7 linked regions of the Oryctolagus cuniculus genome follow. The protein of the gene in region 4 interacts with the protein of the main gene of each other region in a biochemical or structural test. Links are inferred from orthologs where the notes say so. Each region holds a gene or a part of one and is shown on either strand. Other genes may lie near its edges.

What was found.
Region 1: the proteins of UBC (region 4) and HERC4 form a complex in vitro, tested with the Homo sapiens proteins (2 studies listed by BioGRID, with this or other methods). The link is inferred for Oryctolagus cuniculus from reciprocal best matches to the Homo sapiens genes UBC and HERC4.
Region 2: of the proteins of UBC (region 4) and TRIM21, one has a biochemical effect on the other in vitro, tested with the Homo sapiens proteins (2 studies listed by BioGRID). The link is inferred for Oryctolagus cuniculus from reciprocal best matches to the Homo sapiens genes UBC and TRIM21.
Region 3: the proteins of UBC (region 4) and ITSN2 form a complex in vitro, tested with the Homo sapiens proteins (2 studies listed by BioGRID). The link is inferred for Oryctolagus cuniculus from reciprocal best matches to the Homo sapiens genes UBC and ITSN2.
Region 5: the proteins of UBC (region 4) and DNAJB2 form a complex in vitro, tested with the Homo sapiens proteins (2 studies listed by BioGRID). The link is inferred for Oryctolagus cuniculus from reciprocal best matches to the Homo sapiens genes UBC and DNAJB2.
Region 6: the proteins of UBC (region 4) and ZNF451 form a complex in vitro, tested with the Homo sapiens proteins (2 studies listed by BioGRID). The link is inferred for Oryctolagus cuniculus from reciprocal best matches to the Homo sapiens genes UBC and ZNF451.
Region 7: the proteins of UBC (region 4) and PIK3C2B form a complex in vitro, tested with the Homo sapiens proteins (2 studies listed by BioGRID). The link is inferred for Oryctolagus cuniculus from reciprocal best matches to the Homo sapiens genes UBC and PIK3C2B.

The regions. Positions count from the first base shown.
Region 1 is NC_091446.1:59,921,039-59,925,124, reverse strand, and holds part of HERC4 (probable E3 ubiquitin-protein ligase HERC4), read left to right. Parts: intron 1-3,419; coding exon 3,420-3,496; intron 3,497-3,754; coding exon 3,755-3,879; intron 3,880-4,086. UniProt on the Homo sapiens protein: Probable E3 ubiquitin-protein ligase involved in either protein trafficking or in the distribution of cellular structures. Required for spermatozoon maturation and fertility, and for the removal of the cytoplasmic droplet of the spermatozoon.
Region 2 is NC_091432.1:62,646,734-62,650,537, reverse strand, and holds the end of TRIM21 (E3 ubiquitin-protein ligase TRIM21), read right to left. Parts: intron 2,638-3,804; coding exon 2,537-2,637; intron 2,233-2,536; coding exon 1,685-2,232; 3' UTR 877-1,684; downstream 1-876. UniProt on the Homo sapiens protein: E3 ubiquitin-protein ligase whose activity is dependent on E2 enzymes, UBE2D1, UBE2D2, UBE2E1 and UBE2E2.
Region 3 is NC_091433.1:178,394,575-178,398,660, reverse strand, and holds part of ITSN2 (intersectin-2), read right to left. Parts: intron 3,814-4,086; coding exon 3,692-3,813; intron 2,794-3,691; coding exon 2,711-2,793; intron 1-2,710.
Region 4 is NC_091452.1:5,126,933-5,131,016, forward strand, and holds the start of UBC (polyubiquitin-C), read left to right. Parts: upstream 1-1,284; 5' UTR 1,285-1,649; intron 1,650-2,103; exon of another isoform or gene 2,104-2,272; intron 2,273-2,418; 5' UTR 2,419-2,421; coding exon 2,422-4,084.
Region 5 is NC_091434.1:20,213,771-20,218,508, forward strand, and holds the start of DNAJB2 (dnaJ homolog subfamily B member 2), read right to left. Parts: upstream 3,140-4,738; 5' UTR 2,948-3,139; intron 2,590-2,947; coding exon of another isoform or gene 2,587-2,589; exon of another isoform or gene 1,949-2,586; intron 1-1,948. Other genes in the region: TUBA4A (tubulin alpha-4A chain), read left to right, coding at 2,587-2,589, 4,266-4,488. UniProt on the Homo sapiens protein: Functions as a co-chaperone, regulating the substrate binding and activating the ATPase activity of chaperones of the HSP70/heat shock protein 70 family. In parallel, also contributes to the ubiquitin-dependent proteasomal degradation of misfolded proteins.
Region 6 is NC_091436.1:112,490,755-112,495,471, reverse strand, and holds the start of ZNF451 (E3 SUMO-protein ligase ZNF451), read left to right. Parts: upstream 1-1,779; coding exon 1,780-1,800; intron 1,801-2,284; coding exon 2,285-2,368; intron 2,369-4,717. UniProt on the Homo sapiens protein: E3 SUMO-protein ligase; has a preference for SUMO2 and SUMO3 and facilitates UBE2I/UBC9-mediated sumoylation of target proteins. Plays a role in protein SUMO2 modification in response to stress caused by DNA damage and by proteasome inhibitors (in vitro).
Region 7 is NC_091444.1:19,878,520-19,882,605, reverse strand, and holds part of PIK3C2B (phosphatidylinositol 4-phosphate 3-kinase C2 domain-containing subunit beta), read left to right. Parts: intron 1-2,972; coding exon 2,973-3,142; intron 3,143-3,219; exon of another isoform or gene 3,220-3,388; intron 3,389-3,825; coding exon 3,826-3,982; intron 3,983-4,086. UniProt on the Homo sapiens protein: Phosphorylates PtdIns and PtdIns4P with a preference for PtdIns. Does not phosphorylate PtdIns(4,5)P2. May be involved in EGF and PDGF signaling cascades.

The sequences.
Region 1 (4,086 bases), on a different chromosome or scaffold from region 4:
TGGCTTCAGTCTGGTTCATTTGGGGAATGAACAGCAGCTAGAACCAACAGAGATGCCTTTTAAGTAGATGAAAATAAATATTATTTTAAAAATCATAATTTTTGTTGTACTGTAGATATCTTAATGGACAATCTAGGGTGGTTGGGAGGGGGGAACCTTGAATAGAGAATTTTAGTGTTGAGAAGGAATTTTAGGACACTTTCGGTGTTGAGAGAGAGTCCCAAAATTGTTTAGAGTATGTGTGATAGGTGGGAAAAGTATTAAACAAAGCATTACCAATCTGTAGAGATGACGGAAGAATTACTCAATGTGTGAAAATTTGAGGGACAAAAAGATTAGTTTAGACCCTATCCTTCTACTGTCCATTAAATTATAGTTTGGATTAAATGGTAAAAAATTTTAAGAAAATGATTCTTTGGGGGCCGGCACTCTGGTATAGTAGCTTAAGCAGCCACCTGTGACTTTGGTATCCCATATGGCACTGTTTCGAGTCCTAGCTGCTCCACTTCTGATCCAGCGCTCTGCCTGGGAAAGCAGTACAAGATGGCCAAAGTCTGTGGACCCCAGCAGCCATTTGGGAGACCTAGAAGAAGCTGCTGGCTCTGGATTGACTCAGCTCCATCCATTGCGGCCATATGGGGAGTTAACCAGCAAATGGAAGATCTTTTCTGTCTTTCCCTCTCTCTCTAACTATGCTTCTCGAGTAAATGAAGAAATTTTTAAAACAAACAAACGAAGAAACTGATTCTTTTATTTCAGGATTGGGAAAACCTTTCCATCCTCAATACAATGAGTCGTGATAAAATTGGATTAAAAATGTTTTTGAGACAAAATTAAGCAATAATTATTTGAGAAAATATTTTTGATAATTACAACTTAATGTCCAATGTGCATATACATATGGATGAGCAAACAGTGACATCTAATAGATAAATAAGACAAACATTAAGCTACCTGATAAGGGGCCAGTGCCGTGGCACAGTGGGTTAATGCCCTGGCCTGAAGTGCTAGCATCCCATATGGACGCCGATTCGAAACTCGGCTGCTCCACTTCCTATCCAGCTCTCTGCTATGGCCTGGGATAGCAGTAGAAGATGGCCCTGGCTGGCTCCGTGGCTCACTTGGCCAATCCTCCACCTGTGGCATCGGCACCCCGGGTTCTAGTCCTGACTGGGGCGCTGGGTACTAGTCCTGGTTGCTCCTCTTCCAGTCCAGCTCTCTGCTGTGGCCCAGAAAGGCAGTGAAGGATGGCCCAAGTGCTTGGGTCTCTGCACCCGCATGGGAGACCGGGAGGAAGTACCCAGCTTCTGGCTTCGGATCGGCGCAGCGCCAGCTGTGGCAGCCATTAGGGTCAACCAACGGAAGGAAGACCTTTCTCTCTGTCTCTCTCTCACTGTCTATAACTCTCTGTCTCTCTCTCTCACTGTCTAACTCTGCCTGGCAAAACATTAAAAAAAAAAAAAGAAAAAAGAAAAAAAGAAGATGGCCCAAGTCCTTGGCCGCTGCACCCACATAGGAGACCCAGAAGAAGCTCCTGGCTCCTGGTTTCAGATCAGCGCAGTTCCAGCTGTTGCAGCCAATTAGGGAGTGAACCATCTGATGGAAGAGCTCGCGCTCTCTCTCTCTCTCTCTCTCTCTCTCCCTGCCTCTCCTCTCTCTGTGTAACTTTCAAGTAAAATCAATAAATCTTTTAAAAAAAAAAAGTTACCTGATAAATAAAGGAGATAAATGGAAATTTCCCCAAGAGGAAATTGATGATGCTAAGAAATATGCAAAAATTACTACCCTCTTCAGTATCAAAGAAATGCAGATTTAAAAAGCAAGAGGATAGTAAATAAATGCAAAAGATAAGGCTTAATCCTCAATTTCCTGTTTTAAGATAAGTATATAGTAGTAAAGGAGGAGCTAATGTCCACCTCTAAGGTAAAGAAGCAGTGCTCGCATATCATCATTTTCAAATTATAGTTCATTAATTTTCTAGATGTTTAATATCAGTGCTTTCTAGCATCCACAAAGAAACTCAGCAAGCCATATGTTTCAAGATGGAAGAACAACACCTACCCCTTGACCCCATATCCCAGTGTAGCAGTTCTTAAATAACCTGTGATTGGTGCCTGTCTAGATCTACCTACCAGTTTATGAAACATACATGAGACCAAGCAGAATGCTAAGAGAAACCACAGAGGTACATTCAGCAAAGTCCAGTCTGCAGGAAGTTTGTGCAGAACAAGTGATTACATTTTTCAAACTTTTGGAGTCACAATCAAAAGGAAAGGAAAGCTAACTTCTGGTGTCTGATTCACAGCTCCTGGAAACCCATTCATGTATTATAGATTAGTCATCCATTTTCTAGAAGTTACTTATAAAATGCAGAATCACATTTTAGGAATAAATAAATAACATCCATTTTGAGGAAATGAACAGTTTCATGTAGACTTTTCTAAATGATGGTAGAGAAAAGATTTTAAATAAATTGCTGGTTTATTTAACATAGATTTATCCTTTAATCTGTTCTTTTTTAAAAAAAGATTTATTTATTCATTTGAAAGAGTTACACAGATAGAGGAGAGGCGGACAGAGAGGGAGGGAGGGAAGGAGAGGTCTTCCATCCGCTGGTTCACTCCCCAGTTGACTGCAATGGCTGGAACTGCGCTGATCCGAAGCCAGGAGCTTCCTCTGGGTCTCCCATGCAGGTGCAGGGGCACAAGGACTTGGGCCATCTTCCACTGCTTTCACAGGTCACAGCAGAGAGCTGGATTGGAAGTGGAGCAGCCAGGTCTCGAACCAGTGCCCATATGGGATGCTGGCACTTCAGGCCAGGGCATTAACTCACTGCACCACAGCGCCGGCCCCATCTGTTTTTATGTTATTTTGGCTCTAAAGCATTCTTGGGACCTGTCGAAAACTTGATTTTATTAATGTTCTGAGCTCTAAGCTAGATATGTTATGTAGTCATATTGACAAACAGTTACTGAGGGTTTTTTTTTTTAAATAAATAAAGCATTTTGCTTGTTAGTAGGAAATAATCAATTTGTAGTCTTTTTGATTTACAATTGTGAAGGAGCCATGATCACAGATAACACAAGGTGAGTCTTGGCTACTATGCTCCCAACCCAGCTCCCTGCTAATGTATCTGGGAAGACAGGCAAAGTACTTGGGCCCCTGCCACCTATGTGGAGATCTGGAAGGAGTTCTAGGCTCCTGACTTTGGTCTGGCCCAGCCTAGCCCTGACCATTGCAGCCATTTGGAAAGTAAACCAGCAGGTAGCAGAGCACTCTCTCCGTTTCTCCCCCTTTCTCCGTAACTCTGCCTTTCAAATAATAAATCTTAAAAAAAAAAAAAATCAGTAGCACATTTGCTGATCTGAGCAATGTGATACAAGTCTTGGATTCTAATGTTTATATTTTGTTTTTTACAGATTCTGAAGAATATTTCTGTGTAAAAAGAATTTTCTCAGGTGGAGATCAAAGCTTTTCACATTACTGTAGTCCTCAGGTAATAATACAGTTATGTAAATACTTAAACAATTTTGAGGAATTTTAAAAATCTGTATTAATGTTCTTTATATGTTATATAGTGATAGGCCTGACTTTTATACCTCATCTGTACAGAATATTTTTCTGATCTATTTGATAAGTTTTTATTTCCCATATTTAGTGGAGGTTTATTTTTTTTTCAAACACAAATGGAGAGTGTTTTGGTTTTGAATTATAGATAATATTTTTCCTCTAACTTCCTTATTTTATAATTTAGAACTGTGGGCCACCAGATGACTTTAGATGTCCTGATCCTTCAAAACAGATATGGACAGTGAATGAAGCTCTAATTCAAAAATGGCTGAGCTATCCCTCTGGAAGGTTTCCTGTGGAGATAGCCAAGTAAGAGAAACATTCCTTCCACACAAACACTGCCTCTCAAACCTGCGGTAGAGCAACCTTTACAGAGTTTACATTTAAATATTTGTTTGATGGAATATCATTCAGTCCATTATTTAAGTATATAAATATAAATGTATAATTCCATAATAACATTTTAAGAGATCTTACTTGAAATTGGGTAAGTCACAGTTGCAGTTCTTTTCTAGA
Region 2 (3,804 bases), on a different chromosome or scaffold from region 4:
TGTAGATACATAGGACACTTGTTAGCAGCTAGGCCTGGGGCCTTAGATACTTCCTTTGTTTAAATTTCTTTTCCACACCTCTCTCCAACAACAAAACCTTCAAGCCCTGGGACTGGGGGCAGGATTCAGAGAGGAGGTGGTGTGGTTGCACAGAAAGGATATGGAACCCTCCCCTTCCCCTTACCTTGGCTGATTTCATCCTCTATGGTAGAAGCTTCTGGAAGATAAACTGAGCCCTTTTTTCCCAGTTCTCATAACCTGAGCTGCTGACTTGGAACACAGGTGGACACAGACACATCCCACCCTGCTCAAACTTCCATTCTCATAACTGAGGATATGGTCTCACTCACTGCAGACAAGTCCCTTCTGCTATTCCTTAGTGGAGGCCATATGTGTTCCCCTGGAAAAGCCAGAAAAACTTGCCCAAGAAAGGGGGAATTTCAGAGAGGAATGATAGCAAACTTGGATGTCCCAGGAGGAGTAGAAGTGTTCCATTTTCCAGGAAGAACGCTGAGAGCTGAGGGCACCCGAGCCTTCACCCTCTATCAGTGACATTCACTGGTCAACCAAGAACATGGACAGAAGCATCTCAGGTCTTTCAGAGATACAGAGAACAGTACCAGCTCTGAGAGCACTTTGTTTCAAACCCAGGAGTTCCCTCTATGTGAAGGGCACCTGCCCTCGGGCAGTGACTGCAATCTCAAAATGCCTTCTATTATCACAGTGGCCACTTGGAGATCAAGAGAGGAAACTCTTACTGGTATCTTCTGCCCAAGACCAAATAATCCAGATGCAGAAGTAGGGAGGGCAGCCCAGGCAGGAAAAAATGTGCAACATTAGATATCTAAGCATACTTTAAAGTTTGTAAAAAAAAAATGGAGTTAAGATACATTTATTTTGGTGCAAAAATTGAAATCCATGCATACTTTTCATATGTATTTTCCATGAACATTTTGAAGGAATGTTGTATATCACTATTAATCAGAGTTGTCAAATATTTCAGGTTTAAGGAACAAGGGCAGAATACAACACAACTGTTTTTAGGAAGCTATTTTACAAACCACCCACAGTATAACAGAGCTCTGACCTAAGATAATAACCTGAAGATGGAGAGGCTAAAACAGGATTTTTTTTTAAAGGTTTATTTACTTGAAAGAGAGTGAGCAAGCTTCTATTTGCTGGTTCACTACCTAAATGGCCGCAATAACTAGAGCTGGGTCAGGCCGAAGCCAGGAGATTTGTCTGGGTCTCCCACATGGGTGCAGGGGCCCAAGGACTTGGCCCTCTTCCACTGCTTCCCCGGACACATTAGCTGGGAGCTGGACTGGAAGTGGAGAAACCAGGATTTGAACTGTGGCTTAACCTTCTATGCTACAGTGCTGTCCCCTAGGACAGAACTTCAGCGACATAAAGGAGGTGGAAACTGGTTCAGGTGAGTTTGGGCTAAATCTGCAGTTTGCTTCACTGGAGGGAATCGGCAATTTAAAGCAGAAATACCCACTTGATATTGGCTTTCAGTGACCTCCCACCCCTGCTAACAACTGCTTCCTGGGATCCCAACACCTCTGCAGAGGCAAAAGTGTCTCAAGCGTTCATGGGCAAAAGAGGCAGGGGCTGCTGCTGGGAGGGGCCCCAATGGGACGAGGGTGTCCATGAAGAGCCCTCAGTAATTGGCGAGTCCAGACTATGCCATCTTCAGTGGACAGAGAGTGAGAGGAGCTCCATTTTTTCCATCATCATTGAAACCAGGACTGAAGAAGGGCCGCAGAGGTCCAGCAAAGTCACAGTCAGAGAAGGTGTAGATCAGGGACCCATGGTCAGTGACATTGTAGAAGGAAACAGTGCTGGCCTCATAGTCCAGGAAGATCCCAACTTGGTATGGAGGTACCCGAAGGTGGAGGGGGGTTGGGGAACAGGTGCCAGCCTCATATTGTTTTACTTTCCACAGCCAAATTGTCCAGAAGCCTCTCTCAGTGTTGAGCACAAAATTCCCCTTCCTCTGCACCGAGGCTCTGCAGACTCCCAGGTCCCAGGCCCTCTTTCCCCTCACACTGACTTCCCAGTAATGCTTTCCAGAGTTGAAGTGCTGGGCACCGAGGACCATTGGATAATTATCAAATCTCTCTTCATTTTTTGGCACATCCTGCCAGGTGTTTGCAAGCCTCACTTGTCTCAGGTCCTCTGAGATGATGAGCTGTGGATTGGCCGTTTGTGGATCCAGAGTGATGTGTACTGCAGAGAGAGCACCACGGTCAGGCCTGGGGTGTGGGAAGTCCTCAGCCTGTGCCTGTAGCAAGGGGATCTGTGTCAATTCCAGGAGGAGGACGAGCGGCCGACCTCCTCAGGTGAGGAACTGACTTCCAGCGAGCCCTGGCCTTGCCCTGGCCTTTGAAGGGATTACCTTCTCTACTCCTATCTCTCCCCCACCTGCCATCTCTCCTCCATACTGCTGTCCATCCTCCCCCATCCTGGGTCTACTCCACACTTTCATCATTCCCATCTGCCCCACACCCACAACTCCCAGAGCTCGCCTCACCGCCACACGTCCTCAGCATCTTCTTCAGCCCCGGCACATGGCACACACTCCTCAGGTCTGGTGAGATGACTTTCAGCTCCTCCAGGCTCCAGGACTCACTCCTGGGGAAAGAGTTTCAGACTCGTCTTCCACTCCTATTACCTACCCGCTCCCCCACCCCAACCATAACACTATGACTTCCTTGGGGATTGTGATAGTTAAGTACAAAACTTATAATTGCCTCTGGGAAGTAGGAATGAGAGGCAAAAATTTCCAGGATTTATCCAGAAATTCCTAGTTATGAAAGTCTTTGCAGCATGTGTCTTCTCTCATGCTTACTTGGTGACCTTGGGCTCCATCTTATCTTACAGGCAAGGTGTCTGATACAGGCTGAATCACATCTATGAGAAGCCTCAAGGAGTCTGGCCATGCTGTAGGTCTGTCTTACAGCTCTTTCGAGGTAGTTTATAACTGGTGTAACTGCTTCTAAAAAAGCAGACCCAGCAGGCTAGAGAAATTCCTAGCCTTTCCCCAGTTGTTGGGGATTTGCTCTGTGAAGATATTATAGCCCAAATCCTCTGGGAAACTTGGCAACTGAGCTATCCATTTGTTAGCCTTCTGAAACCAGAAAGTGCTTAATAGAGGATCTCCTTGAGAACAGGGAGGCAAGCACGGGAAAGTCCAGGGCATGTTTTTCTACCTTTGCCACCCTCTCAGAGGCATATATGATCATATTGCCCCCTCTTTTATTTATTTTATTTTTTAACTTTTATTTAATGAATATAAATTTCCAAAGTACAGCTTATGGATTACAATGGCTTCCCCCCCATAATGTCCCTCCCACCCGCAACCCTCCCCTTTCCCACTCCCTCTCCCCTTCCATTCACATCAAGATTCATTTTCGATTCTCTTTATATACAGAAGATCAGTTTAGCATACATTAAGTGAAGATTTCAACAGTTTGCTTCCACACAGAAACATAAAGTGAAAAATACTGTTTGAGTGCTAGTTATAGCATTAAATCTCAATGTACAGCACACTGAGGACAAAGATCCTACATGAGGAGTAAGTGCACAGTGACTCCTGTTGTTGACTTAACAAATTGACACTCTTGTTTATGGCCTCAGTAATCACCCTAGGCTCTTGTCATGAGCTGCCAAGGCTATGGAAGCCCCCTGAGTTCACTGACTCTGATAATTTTTAGACAAGGCCATGGTCAAAGTGGAAGTTCTCTCCTCCCTTCAGAGAAAGGTACCTCCTTCTTTGATGGCCCATTCTTTCCACTGGGA
Region 3 (4,086 bases), on a different chromosome or scaffold from region 4:
CTAACAGCCCAGCGTCCGGCGGCCCTCGCCTCTCCCCGCCCCACGTCGCCTGCTGTCTCTGCCACCTCTTGCCTCCTACCCATCCTTCAAGATCCAGGTCCAGTTTCACAGGCACTCCCAGAGCCCTTAGGACTGCACACTCATTGTCGCTGACGTGGGAGCATCCCATGACCCCCAGGGCCTGAAGTCCCGTGATGCCCGTGTCCTCCGCCAGAGGGGAGCCACTGCAGCACGTGCACGACTTCCCTCCTCCCCCTCCTGCTCCTCCTCGCAGGACCCCTCAAGTGCCAGGCAAATAGTGACAGTAATACAATAGTAAGGCACATTAGTTAAGCACTTGACACCAGTGAACACTTCTTGGATACTCTGGGTTAGGCACGTGCTAGACTTTACATCATAGCTGGTTAGACTCCTGGTTACCTTACACGGTAGCTCCCCGTTTTACAGATGAGAAAAACTGAGGCTTAGAAAGTGCTCAGTTCAGAGCTTCTAAAAGGCAGGACGAGCATCCAGACGCCAGACACCAGAGTCTAAAGCACTGGTAATCCCGATTACGCATGACCATTCCCGCGTACCAGGCAGCTTTACTTATGGCCTTGTTCTACTTAAGGAGGCACCTGAACTCCTCCAACACGGAGATGAGCTGTATTCTTTGGGTAAACATGGGTTTAATTAAGCAGGTTAAGGCTTTAGAAACAAGGCAGATGCTTCGGTGAGCTACTGGTTTTTCAAACTCCAGGCCAATACAACTTTCCCTCTGAGAAGCAGCCGCCCCTCACCTGTGCCCCTCCCACCGTGAACCTGAACAGCACTCAGCTGCCCTGAGGCCAGGGCGGGGCTTCCCAGTGCAGAGGCGCGAGCGTCTCCAGGACTGAACACACAGCAACACACACACACACGCACCCACCAGGGTGGGCAAAACGCGCAGAAACCCTGATTTACATCTTTGCCCAATTAAGAGATCAGCATGTGGGGCACAAATGATTCAGTCATCGATTTCTCAATAGCAAGCTTTTGAGGTGACATTCAGTTAGCAAAGCTGATGTACACATACCTGTCAGGAGCATACAACAAAATAAGGGAAACCTGAATGGAGAAAACAGAGAGCTGCGGCTAGAGCACCCAGGAGCCTGAGCTGCTCGGAGGGAGACGGCAGACGGGCGGGGGTGGGACAGGTGTGGCGCAGCTGCAGAGGGGGCAGAGAGGCGGGGACTCGGCACCCAGGGGAGGCCGGGGAAGAACGTGGGAGCTGCGACGTCCTGGCCAGGATCATGGCAGGGCACGGGGACTCTTACAAACACCACTGTAGCCACACCGAGCAGGTGGACCACCTGTCCCGTGATCGGGGCGGACACATGGATGCAACACACACAGAGCCACTGGGCACAAGCCACAGGCCCTGCAAGTGTGGAGCTGCCTTCAGGGGAGGTGACTTGGGGCGCGTGAGCAGAAGCAACAGAGGCCTCAAGACCAGAGCAGGACGGCAGACTCACGGCAGGGCCTCCAGGGACATCACATGGGTTGGGGTCAAGGAAGGTGTCATGGAGGAGGCAGTGTTTTCTTGGGCCTGGAAGGGTTCTGGTGGGGTGGGGCATGTGTGTCTGGGAGGCAGCACGCCCAGGTGGGCCTGACAGTGATGGGAGTGGTTCAGTGGCAGTGACATGGGCTAGGTGTGGGCAGCAGTGGGGCCGTGCTCTGAGGCTGGGGCCAGAAACCTGTCCTCCATCTGGGAGGCCACAGGGGAGACAGCTAAGCAGGGAGAGGCGCCCTCTAGGAGTGAGGACGGTGGTGCTGGGGACAGGGAGCTGCAGTGCGGAGAGGAAGGGGCCGGGCAGGTGGAGGGGGAAGCGCAGGGCTCCACAGCAGAGTGGGTGAGGGGCAGGAGGGCAGGTGCTGTCCAGGCGGCCGAGTGGGGATTCTTGGGAGGACGAGGAGGAGCGACCATGGATGGAGGCCATTGGATCCCACAGGGCACGCGCAGCTGTGGTCAGCCAGGGGTGTCTGAACCCAGGGTGACATGGGCGGCTCCCCAAGGAAGGGAGCTGCCGGAGCGAGGTAGCAAAAAGCACTGGGTGAGGCAGGACTCCTCTCCAGGGGAGGAGAAAGAGGAAGGGAGACGAGGAGGGAAGGTCTGCGGGCGCGAGGACCTCAGGGCCTGAAGGGGTCCAGAGGGAAGAGGAGACTGGATGCCCAACACAGGGAGCGGGCACGGGCGGCAAGCCACTGGTCAGGCCACTTCCGCGGCCGGTGGCCGTGGGGACAGGACTTGGGATGAAGGAGGAGGGGAGGCTCAGGGCCAGGCAGGCGTCCTGGGGAGGGAGCGGGCGGAGGCGGGGCAGGCTGGGAGGGCGGGGGCAGAGTGGGAAAGGGAAGGGGAGTTAGAGGGCGTGAAGTGGAGCCTGCAGAGACAGCTGTGGTGGGAGTGAAGACTGGTGAGGAAGAGGGACTGAGACTTTGCTGTGGGGACCAGGAGGCCCGAGCCTGCCCAGGCTGCCTAGTGGGCGTGGCAGCTGAGCCTCAGTGAGGTCTGTGATGGCAGCTTCGGGAGGAGCGGGCAGGCAACGGCCAGGGCCCCACTGGCCATCCTGCAGCGGGCCTGCTCTTCCAGGCTGTCCCCATGGCCCCAGTCTTACAGCAGGGACAGCAGCCTGTGTCCCCAGGGCCAGACTCCCTGCCCCCCGGTGCTAAGCCCCCAGGGCCCTGCAGGTACCTTGGTAAGCCTTCTCGCGCTTCTTCTTCTCCGTGTCGATGTACTGCTCCGATGCCGCCTTGATCTTCTGCACCCAAGCAGTCCTGGGGGGGAGGGGAGAGCAGCCATTGGGGGCTTCCCGGCAGCGTGCCGGCCGTGGGGGGGGGGCAGCCACTGGGGGCTTCCTGGCCGCGTGCCGGCTGTGGGGGGGGGCAGAGCAGCCACTGGGGGCTTCCCGGCAGCGCGCCGGCCGTTGGGGGGGGAAGCAGCCATTGGGGGCTTCCCGGCAACGTGCTGGCCGTGGGGGGGGGGGCAGAGCAGCCATTGGGGGCTTCCCGGCAGCGCGCCGGCCGTGGACGAGCCCACAGCTCTGGTGCCCCCCCTCTTTTGCCAACCTCAGCTTTGGCAATTTCCAGTCACAGACCTAATGTGTTAATTCAACAGAGGCTGGCGCCGAGAGGGTCTGAGGCCAGTTCTTGGTGGCCTGCACACGGCAGACTGTGCCTGGGGCCGGAGGTGCCATCCCCGCAGGTGTGACACGGCTGCCCGGGAAGTGGGGAGTCTGTCCACGGAGAGCTGTGTGCTCAGGGGACCTGCATCCCCCAGGTTTGCCATCCCGCCTTGGGGGAAGCACGGCTGAGGGCGTAGGGAAGAGGGCAGAGGGCAGAGGTTGCAGGCGAGGAGAGTGGGGAAGGGGCCCCCCACAGGGGCATGTGGGTGGGAGGAGGAGCAAGGAGCAGCTCCAGGAGGCCATCGAAGCAGAGGACGTGGCCCGTGAGCAGCACCCAGCTGCCAGCAGGGACTGAGGCACGGGGTCCGCCGTCCCGGAGCGGCTGAGCAGACCCGAGGCGGAAACGTGCTAGGAGGCGGCAGCCCCGACTCGGCGCGGGCCTGGCCAAGGCTGCCGTGGCCGGAGCGGGGGCACGTGTGGACAGAGGGCCCCTGGGTGCGGTGGGGGTGGGCTCTCTCCTTGGTCTCAGGTCACACACGGTCAGGACTGACCTCTCGTTAATGTTGTCTGTTCGGAGCGTGTAGACCCGATCAATGTGGGAAATGTGGAAGACAGGCTCATCGCTGGAAGGGTCTGTGGGCAGTTTCACCAAGACTTCGTTCAGGAAAATGGGCTGAAAAAATGAGGGCCAAACACAGGCTGTGAGTCGGGCCCGACACTCGACCCGCCTGTGTTCAGAGGAGAAGCGGAACAGGGGCGCTGGCCGGCCTCCACCGTGTCAAAGTAGAAGTCTGGGGTGGCTTGGGCATGCTGAGCTGGCGACAGGAGCCCGAGCAGCCGTGGCTGCTCCCTCCTCTGCACACCAGCTGCGTGCGCTGGCTCAGGCTCGGTTTGCGGCGAGCGCCGAAGCTGAGTGTGGACAGAGGCAGGCCCGGGGCTCATTTCG
Region 4 (4,084 bases):
GATGCGAACTTCAGAAAAACAAAACAAGAACGAAAACACCTGGCCATCACAGGAATCCGTGCTGGCCATCACCAGGGTCTCCCGCTAGCTTGGGTTCCTGCTCTGCATTTTAACCCCCCGGGCCCGGGCATTCCTTGTTTGGGGGTTTAAGGGGTGGAAAAGTCCTCTAACAATGCTCAGGTAGATCTTCCCAGATCCACACAGCCGCAGGTTACCACAGCAACCACACAGCGGTTGTTCTGCCGGGGCTTCTCGGTGACATGACACTTGTAAAACGGTCTTCCCCTCTAAGGAGGGGCTGTGGTCCCGCCTCCGCCCCATCGTGGCAATGGAACATTCTAGAAGAGTCGCACAGCACAGCGTGGGGAGGGGGGGACTCGGGGCACGAGGGGGCAAATCCACCGCTAACGTTTAAGAGCCTCCAGCTCACCTGCTGGTCGACGCCACGATTCTCCCAAACACCAGGACACGACCCCGTGGCTGACCGTGCCCCTCCCCCTTGTGATCACAACGCGAGGTGCGCGTTTCATGCATCGGATCCCGGAAACACAGAGCGCAGCTTCGGTTCGCGTCCGTAAAAAGGCCCAGGTTAAAGCCCGGGCCGCACCAGGCGCCTCCGGCGGCGGCTTCCGGGGAGAGCCTGGGCGGCCGCGACCAGCCGCAACCAGCCAGCGCTGTCGGGGTCCGCCGTGGCTCCCCGCGGGTCTGCGCGCCGGCGGCCCGGGGCCGGGGCCGGGGCCGCGGAGGCGAGGGCAGGATGTGTCCAATCACCGGCCCGGCCCCCCACGAGACCACGGCGGTCACCTCAAACGCGACCCCACAGAAAGCCCCCTCGAGGTCACGGGCCGGGGGGACAGAGCGGGCCGCGCGCGGGGAGGCCCGGATGTGCCCAGTCACGGCCCGGCCCCCACGAGACCACGGCGGTCACCTCAGACGCGACCCCACAGAAAGCCCCCTAGAGGTCACGGGCCGTGGACACAGTGGGCCGCGGAGGCGAGGCCCGGATGTGCCCAGTCACGGCCCGGCCCCGACGAGACCACCGCGGTCACCTCAGACGCGACCCCACAGAAAGCCCCTCGAGGTCGCGGGCCGGGGACAGAGCGGGCCGCGCGCGGGGAGGGGGCGCCGGGCCGGAACCCCCGCGGGCCGCCCACCGACGGGCCGCTGCGGCCGAGGGGACGGGGCGCGGGGCGGAGCCGAAGCCCCCGGCCGCCCGCCCGCTCCGGGCGCCGCCCGGCTCCGCGCCGGGTCTTCCCGCCGCCCGCGCGCCGGCTCCCCTCCCCCAGGGCGGGCGCCCGCACGTCGGCCGCAGCACGCAGCAAACGCCCTGATCCCTCCGCCGGGCCCCTCAGGGCGGCGGCCCCTCCCCTCCCGGGCCCGGCGGTACCGCCCCGGGCTCGACCCGAGAACGTTTTGTGAGGGGGCCGACGGCCCCGGGCGCAGGGTTCCTTCCCGGAGGGCGGAAGAGGCTGAGGAAAGTAGTTCCTTCTCGGCGTTTCTGCGGAGGGATCTCGCCGGGGCGGCGGCTCGCCGTCGGACTATATAAGCGGGCGCCGGGCGCGGCGCAGCCAGTTCCGTCGGAGCCGGAGTTCGGTCGCCTTCATCCTGCGTACAGCTGCCGCCGCCGCCGCCGCCGCCGCCGCCGCCTGGTGAGTGGACCTCGTCGTGCTGGCCGGGGTGGGGGCGGCCCGCGGCCTCTCGGCCGTGAGGGAGGAGGGCGGTGCGGCTGCCCGCCGCGGGCGGGACGCCCTCCCGGGCGGGTAGTCGGCTGGGGTCGCCCCGCAGGCGGAAGAACCGACAAGATGGCGGCGCCGCCGAGCCGGGAGGTCAGGGTGCAGGGCGGACAGGGGCCGGAGAGCGCCGAGCGCCGCGAGGGTCTGAGGAGCGGAAGGCGGCGTCGCCGGGCCGCGTTTGGAGACGTGGGGGAGCGGTGTGGCGGGGCTGACGGGCAGCGCTGGGCCCCGGTTAGGGGCTGGGGAGTAGGGAGGCGCCTCGGCGCGGGGCTGCTCCAGCGGGTGGGGGGCGGCTCGCGCCGTGACGTCACCCGCGTGTTGGCACACAGAGCAGGGCGGGGCTGCCTCCCGGTGTGGGTGGCGTCGGTTTCTGTCAGTTGCAAGACACACGGTTAGGGCCTAGGCGAGATCCTGCTGAGTGGACGGGAACGCGAGCCGGAAGGGGGGAGGGACGGAAAAGCCCTGAGTTCACTGGTCACGTTTCCCTGCTTTCTTCATAACGAAGGGTCTGAGGCTGGGGTTTTGAAGTAATTTTTCAGGTTTGTGTTTGGTGTCCTTTGGAGTTCCTAAGCAAGTTATTAATTTTAATAGTGTAGATAAATAGACGATATTCAGTCTTTAGGAATATTAGTGAATTGTTTGCTGAATTTTTTTTTGTTTCTTTTTGTGTGTTTTCTCATAACAGACAATGCAGATCTTCGTGAAAACCTTAACTGGCAAGACCATCACCCTCGAGGTGGAGCCCAGTGACACCATCGAGAATGTCAAGGCAAAGATCCAGGACAAGGAGGGCATCCCCCCTGACCAGCAGAGGCTGATCTTTGCCGGCAAGCAGCTGGAAGACGGCCGCACCCTGTCCGACTACAACATCCAGAAGGAGTCCACCCTGCACCTGGTGCTGCGCCTCAGAGGTGGCATGCAGATCTTCGTGAAGACCCTGACCGGCAAGACCATCACCCTCGAGGTGGAGCCCAGTGACACCATCGAGAACGTCAAGGCGAAGATCCAGGACAAGGAGGGCATCCCCCCCGACCAGCAGAGGCTGATCTTTGCCGGCAAGCAGCTGGAAGACGGCCGCACCCTGTCCGACTACAACATCCAGAAGGAGTCCACCCTGCACCTGGTGCTGCGCCTCAGAGGTGGCATGCAGATCTTCGTGAAGACCCTGACCGGCAAGACCATCACCCTCGAGGTGGAGCCCAGTGACACCATCGAGAACGTCAAGGCGAAGATCCAGGACAAGGAGGGCATCCCCCCCGACCAGCAGAGGCTGATCTTTGCCGGCAAGCAGCTGGAAGACGGCCGCACCCTGTCCGACTACAACATCCAGAAGGAGTCCACCCTGCACCTGGTGCTGCGCCTCAGAGGTGGCATGCAGATCTTCGTGAAGACCCTGACCGGCAAGACCATCACCCTCGAGGTGGAGCCCAGTGACACCATCGAGAACGTCAAGGCGAAGATCCAGGACAAGGAGGGCATCCCCCCCGACCAGCAGAGGCTGATCTTTGCCGGCAAGCAGCTGGAAGACGGCCGCACCCTGTCCGACTACAACATCCAGAAGGAGTCCACCCTGCACCTGGTGCTGCGCCTCAGAGGTGGCATGCAGATCTTCGTGAAGACCCTGACCGGCAAGACCATCACCCTCGAGGTGGAGCCCAGTGACACCATCGAGAACGTCAAGGCGAAGATCCAGGACAAGGAGGGCATCCCCCCCGACCAGCAGAGGCTGATCTTTGCCGGCAAGCAGCTGGAAGATGGCCGCACCCTGTCCGACTACAACATCCAGAAGGAGTCCACCCTGCACCTGGTGCTGCGCCTCAGAGGTGGCATGCAGATCTTCGTGAAGACCCTGACCGGCAAGACCATCACCCTCGAGGTGGAGCCCAGTGACACCATCGAGAACGTCAAGGCGAAGATCCAGGACAAGGAGGGCATCCCCCCCGACCAGCAGAGGCTGATCTTTGCCGGCAAGCAGCTGGAAGACGGCCGCACCCTGTCCGACTACAACATCCAGAAGGAGTCCACCCTGCACCTGGTGCTGCGCCTCAGAGGTGGCATGCAGATCTTCGTGAAGACCCTGACCGGCAAGACCATCACCCTCGAGGTGGAGCCCAGTGACACCATCGAGAACGTCAAGGCGAAGATCCAGGACAAGGAGGGCATCCCCCCCGACCAGCAGAGGCTGATCTTTGCCGGCAAGCAGCTGGAAGATGGCCGCACCCTGTCCGACTACAACATCCAGAAGGAGTCCACCCTGCACCTGGTGCTGCGCCTCAGAGGTGGCATGCAGATCTTCGTGAAGACCCTGACCGGCAAGACCATCACCCTCGAGGTGGAGCCCAGTGACACCA
Region 5 (4,738 bases), on a different chromosome or scaffold from region 4:
ATCTTTGAAGGAAGCCACGTTTCTGCCTGCCACACATGTTACGTGGGAATGCAGATCTGATATGGCCAGATCTGTCAGTTCTTTTCAGGGTAGGTTAGAAAGCTGGAACGGTATATGACTGTGCAAAAAAAGAGTTAACACAGCAGGCCTGAGACTGCTGACCACAGGAAGGCCTGCTGGCAAGGTTGGCTCTTGGCCGGAGTCTGAGGATTTGGTTCTCGGTTAACAGCTGATAAGAATGGTTTATTTTGCCTAGACTGTGTAAACAAGATGGTTCATGTCCAACACCTGCTTTTCTTCTAGGAGGCTAAGCCTTGGCTATGCGCTAGGCAGGGGTGCCTATGTGATAATCCCCTGCAGAAACCCTATTGAGTCTCAGATGGGCTTCCTGATGCAGACATGTCCTTGAAGGATATGTTGCTGCGAATTGATTCTGAAGGAACCGTGCCGAGCCCTCGTGGGAGGCAGAGGGCACGGGCTCCTTCAGATGTTACGTGGGGCGACCCAGCTGTGTGTCCCTACTGCACCGCCGTGACAAGCCTTAGCTCTGAGCGCAACTATGTGCTGGGCCCTGGGAGTCCTTCTAGCCAGTGTCCTAACGTGGCGGGGGTGGTCTGAGGGGTGCTCTTATACAGGGACATCCCCAACTTTTTCATGTCCTACATGCTATGAAGGTTAACACCACCAAGGCCAAACATGGCACATCTAAGAGTGAGTTTGACCTCCAGGCTGCCAATCAGCAACTTCACTAGAACTACAGGAAGTGGAACAATTCCTGACACACACCTAGCAGCTGTGTACCCTGTGTGCCCAGCACCATGCCACGAACTAGAGACACAAAGACGAAAAGGCTCAGGCCTTTAACAGCCTGCCCTCTAGCAACACAGCCATGTACCCAGCACGATGTGAAGAAGTGCTCCAAGAACCCAGCCAGCTACTTACACGGTGCACCACATCACAGAATCCCCAGGGCCCCACACCCAAAGTTGTTGGGCCAGTTCTACAGTGAAGGTCGAAGAAGAGGTAAGGGTTTTGCCCAAGATAGCTCAGGTCTCTGGCTGTATTCATTCTGCTGCGGTGAGGGGTGGGGTGCAAGGACAAGAGGGCGAGGGAAGATCTGCTAGCGGCCACGTGTCCTGTAATCACCAAGGCTTCCTCCTCCATGAAGGCCGCCATGGTCTCCCCAAACAGCCTCACTGGAGGCCCTTGTCAGTGCTGTTTTTATGAATGAATCATGTTCTCCCAACCAGATGGCAAGTCTGCTGGGAAGAGAGCCCTTATCATATTTCAGTATATTTCTTTCTATGCCTTTCCCCAGTCAAATGCCAATTAGCTACTTTGTTGGTAGAAAGTTGCCATGGCTGGTGGCTGTATGGAATGGTGCTGTGCTGTCAGCCCACCCTGCTGGCCACAGGGAAACCAGAGGGGCCGAGAGGCAGGTGAGACTTTTCCAGGTGATGGCTAGCCTGGGAGACAGGTTTCTTAAAAGGCTTGCCAGCCAGCCTGCTGGGTGTCCCCAGTGGAAGCAGACGGCTGGAAAGTGCTGGGCAACTTGGGGAAGACAAAAGTAGCCCGACTTGCAAGAAATGGAAATGAAATGTAGGAAGCAGCTGAGGGCGGCTCGCAGGAGAGAAGGGGAAAGGTCCCATCAGCCATGATACCCGAATCTCCACTTTCTTTCTCAACACTTTGTTAACTCACAACACTGCTTCTAGGCTTGGAGCCTCCTCCTTTTTTGTTGGTGAAAATGCCAAGAACCCAGCCTCAGCGAGAAGGAAGTCACTTGACCAAGGTCACACGGGGCAGTCCGGATGCGAATCCAGGTCCTGAGGGTCCCAGGGGCAGCGCGCAGGTGGCGGGGCGAGGGCTCACTAATAGTGACGCCGCCGATGACGGCCCCCTGCCCGCCGGGTTGGCGAGCCACGGCAGATTCCCAGCGTCGGACCTCGCAGGCAGACTGCGGGGCTCGACTCTGCGGGAGAGTCCACAGGATCGACACCCTGGGGCTCAGGCTGTGCAGCTCCCGGCCCCCGGCCGCCCACAGGTGGGGGCGGAGGCCTGCCGTCCCGGCCGGGGACCGGCAGGCGGCGTGTAGCTGGCAGGGGCTCCCCAGCGGCGGCCGGCCAGAGCCTCCAGGGAGGGAGAGCGGGGAGAGCCCCGGCGAAGGCCAGCTGCAGCCACCTCGGAAGATCGCTCTCAACCGCAGTCGGCCTAAATCAGAACACCTGGACGTCCGGCGCCCCCATGACGCAGGTGCAGGCGAGGCGCGCCCGGCCACCGCACCCTGTGCGCCAGCCGCGGATCTGTGGAGCCCGGAGTGCCGGCCCAAAGCGGGGAACGAAGGGTTAAAGCCCGAGTCGCTGCTGGTCGCCGGGGCCCGACAGGTGAGGGACCCCGGAGCGGCAGGGGGAGGGGCCCCGGCCTGGATCTTGGGGGCGTGGCTACAGGGCCGCCCCGCCCCTGGCGGGGAGCGGCGCGCGCAGCCCCGCCCCCGGAGTATAAGAGCGGTGCGGCACTGCAGCTAGCGCAGTTCTCACCGAGACCCGTCACCCCGACTCTACGTGAGACGCACCGCCCGGACTCACCATGGTGAGTGCGGCCCCGCCGGCCTCGTGCCCTGTCCCCGAATTGCCCCTGTCCTTTGGGGGACCCTCCCTCCAGGGATGCTCCGGGCCCTCCACCTGACCCTGCGGGTCTGCAGGGGGTGCGAGGGTTCCGCACCCTGCCCCAACCCCCCTCCCGGTGACTTTGGCGGAACTATGGTGGCCACCTTCGCGGGGTGGGGGCTGGAATCTTCGCTAGCAAAGAGAAGCCCTCCGGACCACCCCCTCCTGCCTCACCAAGCGTTTGTGCCCCAACCCTCCCAGCGGAGTCACGCGGTCCCGCGCCCAGTCCTCTCCGTGGGCGACGACCCGCTTGGCTGCCCGCCCCCGGCCCTGGGACTGACCGGACATGTGCTTGGCGCCAGATGGTGGAGAGGGGCCAGGGTCCTTGGTGCCGCATCCCCGTTTCCTCAGGCTGTTTGAGCATCCCTCCTGCCCACAGCCGCTCCCCCCACCCCGGCCCGTGACTCAGCACCCCACTTCTGGCCGGGAGGGATGGCGGGAATGGGGTTCGGCCTCGTGAGGTGAGCCGGCCCCTCTGCAGCCTGAGCGCGGGTGCGCGGACGGACGGGCAGAGACAGCTGGCGCCGAGCGACGGCGCGGGCCCGGGCCAGGTTGGGGGGATGGGAAAGAGGTGTGTGTAGGGGGAGGTATTTATAGCCCAGGAGCGGGGGCAGAAACCTTATCCCTACTTTCGGCTGGGATTTAACTGGAAAGACTCCGGCGGGAGAGCGGATGTAGGGCCGGGTGCAGCGTGGCGCTCACCCTGCCCGGGGCAAGGCGGGTTACCTCTGGGGGCCCCCGGAAGGTTCCGCTTCCTTTTCTGGGTATTTGGAAACCGTCACCCTGGCATTTCGTTGGGGGAAGGGAGGCGCGCGGGTCCTGCGGACTTTGGTGCCCCGGGGGTTAATCTGCCACTGGCAGGGACGGAGCCTAAGGCTGCAGCAGCTCCCCCGTGCCCCTACCCTTTAGCCCGCTCCTGCGGAGGGCTGGCGCTTACCAGCGTTATGGCTGCTATTTCCGTGGGGGCTGAAGGTGGTGAAGCCAGCCAGAGGGCGGGGGTGGAGGTGGGGAGAGCAGCCAGATGCGACGGATCCCCAGAGCCGGATGGGCTTTAAAGGTAGGGGGAGCAGGCCACCTGGTGACCAGTGTGGTTGGTTTGATGCCAGCCGGGAAGCCTGCGGGGAGAAAGGGCTACGTGGATTTCTCTGTGTTCACCCTCAAGAGAATTGCGGTGGGGGAGGGGGTGCTCTAGTTATGAACAAGAGGCTGTACCCCTCCCCAGGCTCTGGGGGAGCTGTTTGTGGGCAGCAGGGAATGAGGGCAGCTGAAGAGCCTTGCCCGTGGTCATTACTGCAGCGTCTGCCAGAGTCGCGCACGTGCCCTCTCTGTCCTCCCCGAGTGTCCTGTGCGTGCAGCAGGATCACGAGGAACCATAGCTCTCACTTGACAAACTCCCCACCGAGAGGCAGACGAAGGGATTTGCCTGCCCTCCTGGTGCCTGCAGCTGGGGAGTCCTGTGCAGAGGAGCCTGCCCTAGCCAGCCCCAAGCCTCCACTGCAAGACTCATCCGAGCTGAAGGCGATAGCGTGTTGGGGGGAAGCCCATGAGGTGAGAGGTTGTGGCTGCGGGCTCATGCTGTCCCCTCTCTTTATCCTTCAGCGTGAATGCATCTCCGTCCATGTAGGGCAGGCAGGTGTCCAGATGGGCAATGCCTGCTGGGAGCTCTACTGTCTGGAACATGGGATTCAGCCCGATGGGCAGATGCCCAGCGACAAGACCATTGGTGGAGGGGATGACTCCTTTACCACTTTCTTCTGTGAAACTGGTGCTGGAAAACACGTGCCCCGGGCAGTGTTTGTGGACCTGGAGCCCACCGTCATTGGTGAGAGGAAGAGGGGGCAGTGTGGAGCCGGGTGGGCAGGGACTCAAAGCTGGTCTGGAGTGTGTCTAGACCTGGCTCTCCTGGCTCTGTAAATTCCTCTCCCTGTTTGAAGCTGAGAAAGACAAGCTGATCTTGGGCTGGCCGAGGCAGCAGGTCTGGGCTTCTCGCACACTCTGGTATCTCAGGCTGGCAGAAGAATGAGCTCTTCCTGTGCATCTGGCCACAGCTACCACCCAGGGGAAGGAAGGTC
Region 6 (4,717 bases), on a different chromosome or scaffold from region 4:
GTGATATATTCTCAGGATAAATCCCTGCAATTACAGTGACCGAACTGAATGGCATGAACATGCTTTGGCTTCAGCTGCATACTGCTTATTTGTTTTCCAAGAGTTTTACCCATTAATTTGTAACCTGCAAGCTATTAAATATCCCACCAGCACATTAAAAGCATCTTTTAAATACAAGTTTACATTTCTTCAAAGATTTTATTTATTTATTTATTTATTTGAGAGGTAGAGTTACAGACAGTGAGAGAGAGAAACAGAGAGAAAGGTCTTGTTTCCGTTGGTTCACTTCCCAGTGGCCACAATGGCTGGAGCTGCGCTGATCGCCGATCCAAAGCAGGAACCAGGTGCTTCTTCCCAGTCTCCCACGCCGTGGCAGGGAGCTCTAGGGCCATCTTCTACTGCTTTCCCAGGCCACAGCAGAGAGCTGGATAGAAGAGGAGCAGCCGGGACTAGAACCCTGCGCTCATATGGGATGCCTGCGCCGCAGGTGGAGGATTAACCTGCACCATAGCGCCGGCCCCAAGTTTTTCCTATACATTTAAAAGCTTTAGAAATATTTATTTTACATAGACAGCATTTGAGAAATTCACTTCCTGGGTCTCATTCTCAGTTGTCCTCTATAAGTGTAACAGCAATGATGTCATAAAGCACTTTGGGGATATGCAGGAAATAATTTTAAGCAGTAATTACCGAAATAGGCCAGTTAGATGGTAGTCTTGCATACCTGACAGACAAAAGCAGACATCTAAGATTCAAAAGAATTTTCTCACTTTAAATTCTTTTCAAACACGTTATTGACAACTGTTGGTGTGTGTAATAGTCCTTTTGTTGGGAAGGCATTTTTGGAGAAAAAATTAAAACACATAGTTGAATGTCGGTGATCTGTTTTATAGACTGCTACGTGTATGAACACTGAGAAAGATCGACTACTTTATTTAGTGGGATGTATTTGAGAATGCCTTGAGAAAGTATAATCGGTCTAGGGCTTGGTGTTAAGGTTAGCCAGGCCTCAGCTCCCTTTCTTCGGATCCTGGACTTTTACGAAGGCGCTCCCGTCCGCCCCTCTCGATCTTTTTCCTCGGGTGTACTGTAATACTTGTTGAGCCTGGGGCAGTGAAGCTGGGTTAGATGTAGGTCACCTCAGGGCACTCCAGATTCTTTCCTAGGTCTTAAGAATTTCACTAAAGGAACACATACTCCACCTGCTTAAAAAGAAAACATAAATTAGTTCCCACCATCCACCTTTAGTGGTAAGACGGAGAAAATTAGCGAGATGTCCTTTTACAACCACACCTAAACCAACTCAACACACTCCCCACCTTCCGTGAGCTTCTCTTCCCGGCAGGGCTGGGCCGGCCACACAACGGCTTCGCCCACCAGAGGCCAATGTCGGCCCTGAACGCATGCGCTCTACCTCGGAGGCGTCTGCCCCTCTTTTACATCCATGGGGGGTGGGGGGCGCGTTTTCGGGTCTGGCAGGAACTACAATTCCCAGCATCCTGGGCGGCGAAAGGAAGGAACCCCGGGAGTGCGCGAAAGCGGCTCGCGGGGCTAGCGGGCCAGCGAGGGAGCTCCTCCTCCTTCCAAGCGGGTCTGCGTCTCTTGCAGCCTGCGGCGTCAGCCGCGTCGGCGCTCACGCAGGGGCGGGTGACGGCGGCGCGGGGCAGTGCAGGGCGGGAAGGGACGTCGTGGCGGCGGCGGCGGCCGAGGCAGGGCCAGCAGCTTAGGCGGCTGCGGCAGGGACAGCAGGCGCGGTGGTGCTGTCAGGCCGGCGGAGAAATGGGAGACCCAGGGTCTGAGGTGAGTAGGGCAGCCTTGGGCTTTGGCGTCCTGAGAGCCGAACCGCGAAAGGTTTCCTGTGTTCTCCGGGGGGAGGCCTGTGCTCGCCCAGGCCTGTGGGGCGACGTCTCTTAACCCTCGGACCGAGCCCGGAGTTGGGCCTGCGCATGTATGATGAGCAAGGAACCGGCGGGAACAATGGCCGCCCCCCGATGCCCTCCCATGGTCGCGGGGTCCTGCAGCCTCGGCTCTGCCGCTGGGAGCGACGTTTTAGGAGAGGACTGCCCGTGGGTAGTGAGCTTGTGTCGCCCCTTGTTTTGTAACTGTGGGGATTCTGAGCGGCTCCTAAGCACCAGGACTCCGTCCAGGTCTGATGGTAGTCGGGTTTGCTGAAATCGTGGGCTGTTTTCCCCGAGAGCTTTTTGTCTTCATCGTGCTTTCTGGAAAAGTCTCTCCCTTCAAGCGCGTGGCTGCATGTTAAGCATGTTTTGGCTTATTTTTATAGATAATAGAATCTGTCCCTCCAGCTGGGCCTGAAGCATCAGAGGCAACAACGGATGAAAATGAAGACGACATTCAGTTTGTTAGTGTAAGTAGCACCTCATAATCGGGGATTTCCCCATTGTGAAGGGCCATGGTAGGGCATTCCGGGGTGACACTTCGCCAGGTCATTCAGCTTTCAACAAATACTTAGGAAAGTGTGACGCTCACTGGACACGGTGGAGCATGGCATGAACTCGGGGAATTTCCCCCAAAGTAGTATCTGAGCAACCCCGGTGGCCATCACAAAGAGTGAGGCCTAAAGAAGAGATGGTGCACCTGGTTACTCCTCCCATGCCCTCATATAGAGCCATTTATACTCCGCCATGACACAATTCTGATCTCAGACTGGCAGTTTTAAAATGGGCAGAACTGTTTTACAAGATGACACACAGGGGTAGGGGTGGCTGCCGGTAAGGAAGGAGACAGGAAACAAAAAGGGTTGCCAGAACTCAGAATCTGGCATTATGTAGCTTCAGACTTGAGGCAAGTCGTTGGAAGGTTTCACCACCCTCTGAGCTCGTCAGGTTACAGCACAGTGCAACAGTTGAGGCTCATAATGGAGAGTCCTGCATCACCAGGAACAAACTGTGTTGTTCTGAATTTATCCCCATTGGGACAGTATGTTAGCAGTAGTAGTGTAAGCAGGCAGATTGTGGACTCTCCTCCAGACCTACTAAATCAGAATTTCCTCTGGGGTAGGGATGGGGGCAGTAGGAATCTTTGTTTTGGAACAAATGCAGCACCTATGGACCTCTGAACACACTTTGTGAAGTATTCCTTTTGGAAGAAAGCCATATGTTGTTTTTTAGGATGGTTTACATTCATAACTTAAAAAGTTTTATAATGTTTGTCCTTAAAGTGATAGCTTAATTATCCAGAGAGTATTTCTCCTCCAAACTCTGCTTTTGGAGTGCTGTAGTTAGTTGCAGTTTGGTATACAACATTCGGCCATTGGGTGACTGTTGTATGGTATTTTAGTGGGTTTTTGTGAACGGAATCAGTCACAATATTTTTTTCCTTGGATGTTCCCCTTTTTTTCAAACCATAATTGTATTCTGTTCTCATCTTGAACTTGTAAGGATTTGATGTGAGAGTGAGAATGACTTGCGTCTTTCCCCTTTGTCGCTGTGGAATAAGTTTGATGACAGAGTTCCATGGCTCTTTAAGACAGTATTTTAGGCCGGCGCCACGGCTCACTAGGCTAATCCTCCGCCTTGCAGCGCTGGCACACCGGGTTCTAGTCCTGGTCGGGGCGCCGGATTCTGTCCCGATTGCTCCTCTTCCAGGCCAGCTCTCTGCTGTGGCCAGGGAGTGCAGTGGAGGATGGCCCAAATGCTTGGGCCCTGCACCCCATGGGAGACCAGGAGAAGCACCTGGCTCCTGCCATCGGATCAGCGCGGTACGCCGGCCGCGGCGGCCTTTGGAGGGTGAACCAATGGCAAAGGAAGACCTTTCTCTGTCTCTCTCTCACTGTCCACTCTGCCTGTCAAAAAAAAAAAAAAGTCTTAAAATTAAAAAAAAAAAATTTGAGGCAGAGAAAGGAGGAGAAAGAAATCTCCCATCTACTAGTTCACTCCCCAGGTGCCTGCAACTACAAACAAGCTGAAACCAGGAGCCCTGAAGTCAGTCTGAGTATCCCACATTGGTGGCAGGGACCCAACTACTTGAATTTTCAACTAGAATCTCTCAGGTACCTGTTAGCAGGTAGTTAGAATCAGAAGTAGAGCTGGGACTCATACTGAGGTGCTACCAATATGGGATTGAGCATCCCAAGTTGGCGTAATTGTTCACTGTGCTACCGTGGGTATAAAAGCTGCTGAGGGACCCTATCATCTTTATAACAGTGCAGGAGTTTCAGTTTTGCACCAAGATTATTGGTACAATGTGAAATCACTGGAAACATGGGTGTAAGCAAGGAAATTAAAATGTTTTAATAAGTAAGTTCAAGAGCATGTAGGTTAAGTATTAATACTTGAGCTATAGGGGTAGGCATTTTGCACAGTGGTTAAGACAGCACTTGGGACACCCAAACACTGACTTTTCTGCTTTAGATCCTACTTTCTGTTGATACACACAAACTCTGGAGGCAGCAGATGATGGCTTATGTCATTGGGTCCCTGCCACCCATGTGGAAGACCAAGATTGAGTTACGGATTCCTGATTTTGGCCTAGTCCAGTGGACATTTGGGGAGAGAACTAGCAGATGAAAAATCTTTCTCTCTCTACATTTCAAAAAATAGGAAAAATAAATTTAAAAATAAAAATAGAAACCAAAACTTTAACTGCAGAAGGGAGTCATGTAAAAAATAAGTACCTTTTGGGCAAAATTCAATAAGTAAAAGTATTGAGCCAGGAGTTAAGTATCTTAGAGCTATACAGGTTAGTTGGAAGTATA
Region 7 (4,086 bases), on a different chromosome or scaffold from region 4:
GTCCTCTTCAGGGTCCCCTGCCACTGGAGAGCAGTCACAGTCACTCTTTCCCGCCCCTCCGCTGTTCCTTCTAAGGTGCTTTTCCAGCAGCGCGGTGGTTAAGCCACCTCTGGGAGCGCACTCCCCATTGGAGTGTCTGGGATTGAGTCCTGCCTCTGCTTCCAATCCAGCCTCCTGCTAAGGAGCCTGGGAGGCGGCACTTGGGTCCGTGGGTGCAGTTCCTGGCTCTTGGCTTCAGCCTGGCCCAGGCCAGCTCTGCATTTCAAATCAATGGAATAAAAACACCCCCCTTAATGAGGTACTGTGCTAGGTGCTAGAATTATGATTAGTCCTTGCCGATGTAATAGAATCATAATAAAAGTGATGGGCATAGGTGTCTGGCCTAGGGGCTAAGATACTTTCAATATATAACATATATATGTTATAATATAATATAATATAATATTATATAATGTGTACTATATAATATGACATAGTATAACATCTGACATACGTTATAATATAACGTATCAGAGTTCAATGCCTGGGTTCAATGCCTGGCTCCTGGTTCCAGCTTCCTGCTAAGGCAGACCCTGGGAGGCAGCAGGGATGGCTCAAATAATTGAGTTCCTGCCACCCATGTGGGAGACCTATTTGAGTTCCTAGCTCCTGGCCTCAGCTCAGCTGAGACCACTGCAGTTCTTTGGGGAGTGAACCAGTAGGTGAGAGCCAGTGCTTCCTCTCTCTCTCTCTCTCTCTCTCTCTCTCTAATAAATAGAAAAAAAAAATGTTAGTGAAGTGATGGAAGTGTGTGCAGGGAGAACGCGCAGAGGGAGGCTGACTCCAGCAGAGGCTTCCTCTCAGTCGTTCCCAGAGAGCTGCTGGCTCCTGCAGCCTCCCTGCCCGCAGGGTGCGGCACTTTCTTACCAGGACTCCGGGAAGAAAGGGAGAGAAGGATTTTGCTCTGGGCCACCTACCCTGCATCCCAGCAGTGAGATCCCTGGAGTGGAGAGATGCCCACCCTCCTCTTTGATGCCTGAGCCTTCTCAGCAGGAGGCTTTGAAGGGAGTGTTCTTTAAATCAAAACAGAACAAAACAGAAGGTGTGTAGATCATCAGGGAGCCTGGAGTGGAGCCAAGACTCAAACCCGGGTACGCGGATACTCAGAGCAGGTGTCCTAAGCGGGGTCTTATTCCATGCACCCAACAGCAGCTCCTCAGAGAGAATTAAGAAGGTGAAAGATGTGCCTCTGCTGACTCCGTGTGTTCTCACGTCCTGGGGCAGATGTCAGCCAGACTAAAGACTCCGAATGCGAAATCTCCCTAGCACGCTGTGGCTGTGGCGGCTGGGGTGTCAGATGTGCAGATGTCAGCACCGCCTCAGCTCTTCCTGAGGTGCAGAGACTTTAATTAGATCGACACCTAGCTGTGACCAACAGCCCCGGATGGCGGAACTGAGCAGGGTGGGGAAGGGACCCGGCACGCGCCTGCCTCTGGGCAGGTGTCCCGGTGACTTCCTGTCTGTGAAGGTCTCCCCAGTGCGGACAGGGCAGCTCTGGGCTCTTCAAGCAGCCCGTGGTCTCCCCAGCCAACCTCCCTGGCAGAGGGAGAGCCGCGGGCAAAGGCAGCATTCCCCAGGAGTGGTGGGGCTGCTCATACAACCTCCCATCTTCTACTCCGGGAGACAGGGGAGATTTTTTTTTTATTTTAGATTTATTTATTTGAAAGGCAGAGTTACAGAGAGAAAAGGAGAGAGAGATCTTTCATCTGCTGGTTTGTTCCCCAAATGGCTGCAACAGCCAGGGCTGGGCCCAGGCCCATTAGCAGGGAGCGGGATTGGAAGTGGAGCAGCTGGGACTTGAACCAGCTCCCATATGGCATGCCAGGCTCACAGGCTGTGGCATTACCTGCTACTCCATAGCGCCGGCCCCAGCGAGACAGTTTTATAAGGGTCTTTCAAAATGTTTGTGGAAAAGGGAGTTAAGGATACATTCAGGCCAGCGCCGTGGCTCAATAGGCTAATCCTCCGCCTGCGGCGCCGGCACACCGGGTTCTAGTCCCGGTCGGGGCGCCGGATTCTGTCCCGGTTGCCCCTCTTCCAGGCCAGCTCTCTGCTGTGGCCAGGGAGTGCAGTGGAGGATGGCCCAAGTGCTTGGGCCCTGCACCCCATGGGAGACCAGGAGAAGCACCTGGCCCCTGGCTTCGGATCAGCGCAGTGCGCTGGCCGCATTGCACTGGCCGCAGCGGCCATTGGAGGGTGAACCAACGGTAAAGGAAGACCTTTCTTTCTGTCTCTCTCTCTCACTGTCCACTCTGCCTGTCAAAAGGAAAAAAAAAAGGATACATTCAGGGTGGACCTGGTAGTTAGGACGCCTGTTTAAAGGTCTGCGTCCCGTATCAGAGTGGTTGAGTTTGATCCCCAACTCCAGCTCCTGGCTCCAGCTTCCTGCTAATGCAGACCCTGGAGGCAGCGCTGATGGCTCCAGTGGTCGGGTTCCTGGCTCCTGGCTTCCTTCCAGCCCAGCTCCAGCCATCACAGTCATCTGAGGAGTGACCCAGCAGGTGGAAGATCTCTCTCTCTCTCCCTCTCCTTCCTTCTGTCTCTCTGTCACTCTGCCTTTCAAGTAAATAGATAACTAAATCCTTTTTATTGTATTTTTTTAAAAGTTTATATTGGTACAAAAATATTTAAAATCCCCGTGAAAATTTTTAATGAACTTTTGGAAGACCCGTTCCAATGCATGGATTTCAAAAATATTCTCACCATAAGAAGCTCACTCTGCTCCTTCCACTTTCCACGAGCTGCTCAGGGAATGCTCACGTGCACACGCACGCTTATCCGTAGTGTGTGGTAAAGGATGACCAGGCAGATGTGAGGTGGTGCTGGGCCTGGCCGAGAGGGGCTGGGCCTGGCCGAGAGGGGCTGGCTGTGGCTCCCACAATCCCTCCACGCAGGCTTAAGTGTCCGTGCCGGTCCGCCCTCACTCCTCCCAGGCCGTGGAGAACTTCATCTACTCCTGTGCCGGCTGCTGCGTGGCCACCTACGTCCTGGGCATCTGTGACCGACACAACGACAACATCATGCTGAAGACCACGGGCCACATGTTCCACATCGACTTCGGCCGCTTCCTGGGCCACGCCCAGATGTTCGGCAACATCAAGCGGTAAGCGGCGTGGAGGTCCGCAGAGGCAGGCGAGCGCTGGGACACAAGCCGGGGCTGGGCTTCGGAGCGTGGTCCCTGGGCCGAGGTGGGGACAGTGGGGCCAGCTGCTGCCCTCCTCGCTGGGGTCTGAGCAGGGAAGTGAGCCCCAGCTGCAGCAACAGGGACCTGCTGAGCTCTCCAGAACAGTGGTTGCAGGCTCTCCGGTGAGCAGCCAGCGCTGGATGCGGGATGTCCGTCTCCTGGGACCTGTTAGGATTCAAGGTGGCAGAGCAAAGAAGAGGAAAAGGTCATGTGGGCCCCGGTTCGAGTCCCAGCTGCTCCACTTCCTATCCAGCTCCCTGCTAATGCACCTGCAAGGGCAGAGGAAGATGGGCCCTCACACCCACGTGGGGGACCCAGGAGAAGCTCCTGGCTCCCAGCTTTGGCCTGGCCCAGCAGGCTGTTACAGCCATTTGGGGAGTGAACCAGCGGATGGAAGATCTCTCCCTCTCTGTAGCTCTTTCAGATAAATAAATAGATAGATAAATAAAAAAAAAAAAAAAAAAAAGAGGAGGAGGAGGTCAGAGAGCGCCCGTCTGTCCAGCGCCACGCGGGTGACGGAAGGGAGGACGCGCCCTGCCGCAGCCACAGCTGGGCCTGGTCCTCCACGCTGACCTTTGACCTCTGTGTTCCCCTTGGCCCAGGGACCGTGCCCCCTTTGTCTTCACCTCGGACATGGCGTATGTCATCAACGGGGGTGACAAGCCTTCCAGCCGCTTCCACGATTTTGTGGATCTTTGCTGCCAAGCCTACAACCTCATCCGCAAGCACACCCACCTCTTCCTCAACCTGCTGGGCCTGGTGAGGAGCCCCGCCCCTCTCGCCTCAGCCCCTGGCGCCCCCGTGCCCTGCTCCAGACGACTTCTGGGGGCCCCCTTGCGGTGGAACACCTGCCGCCCCAGAAG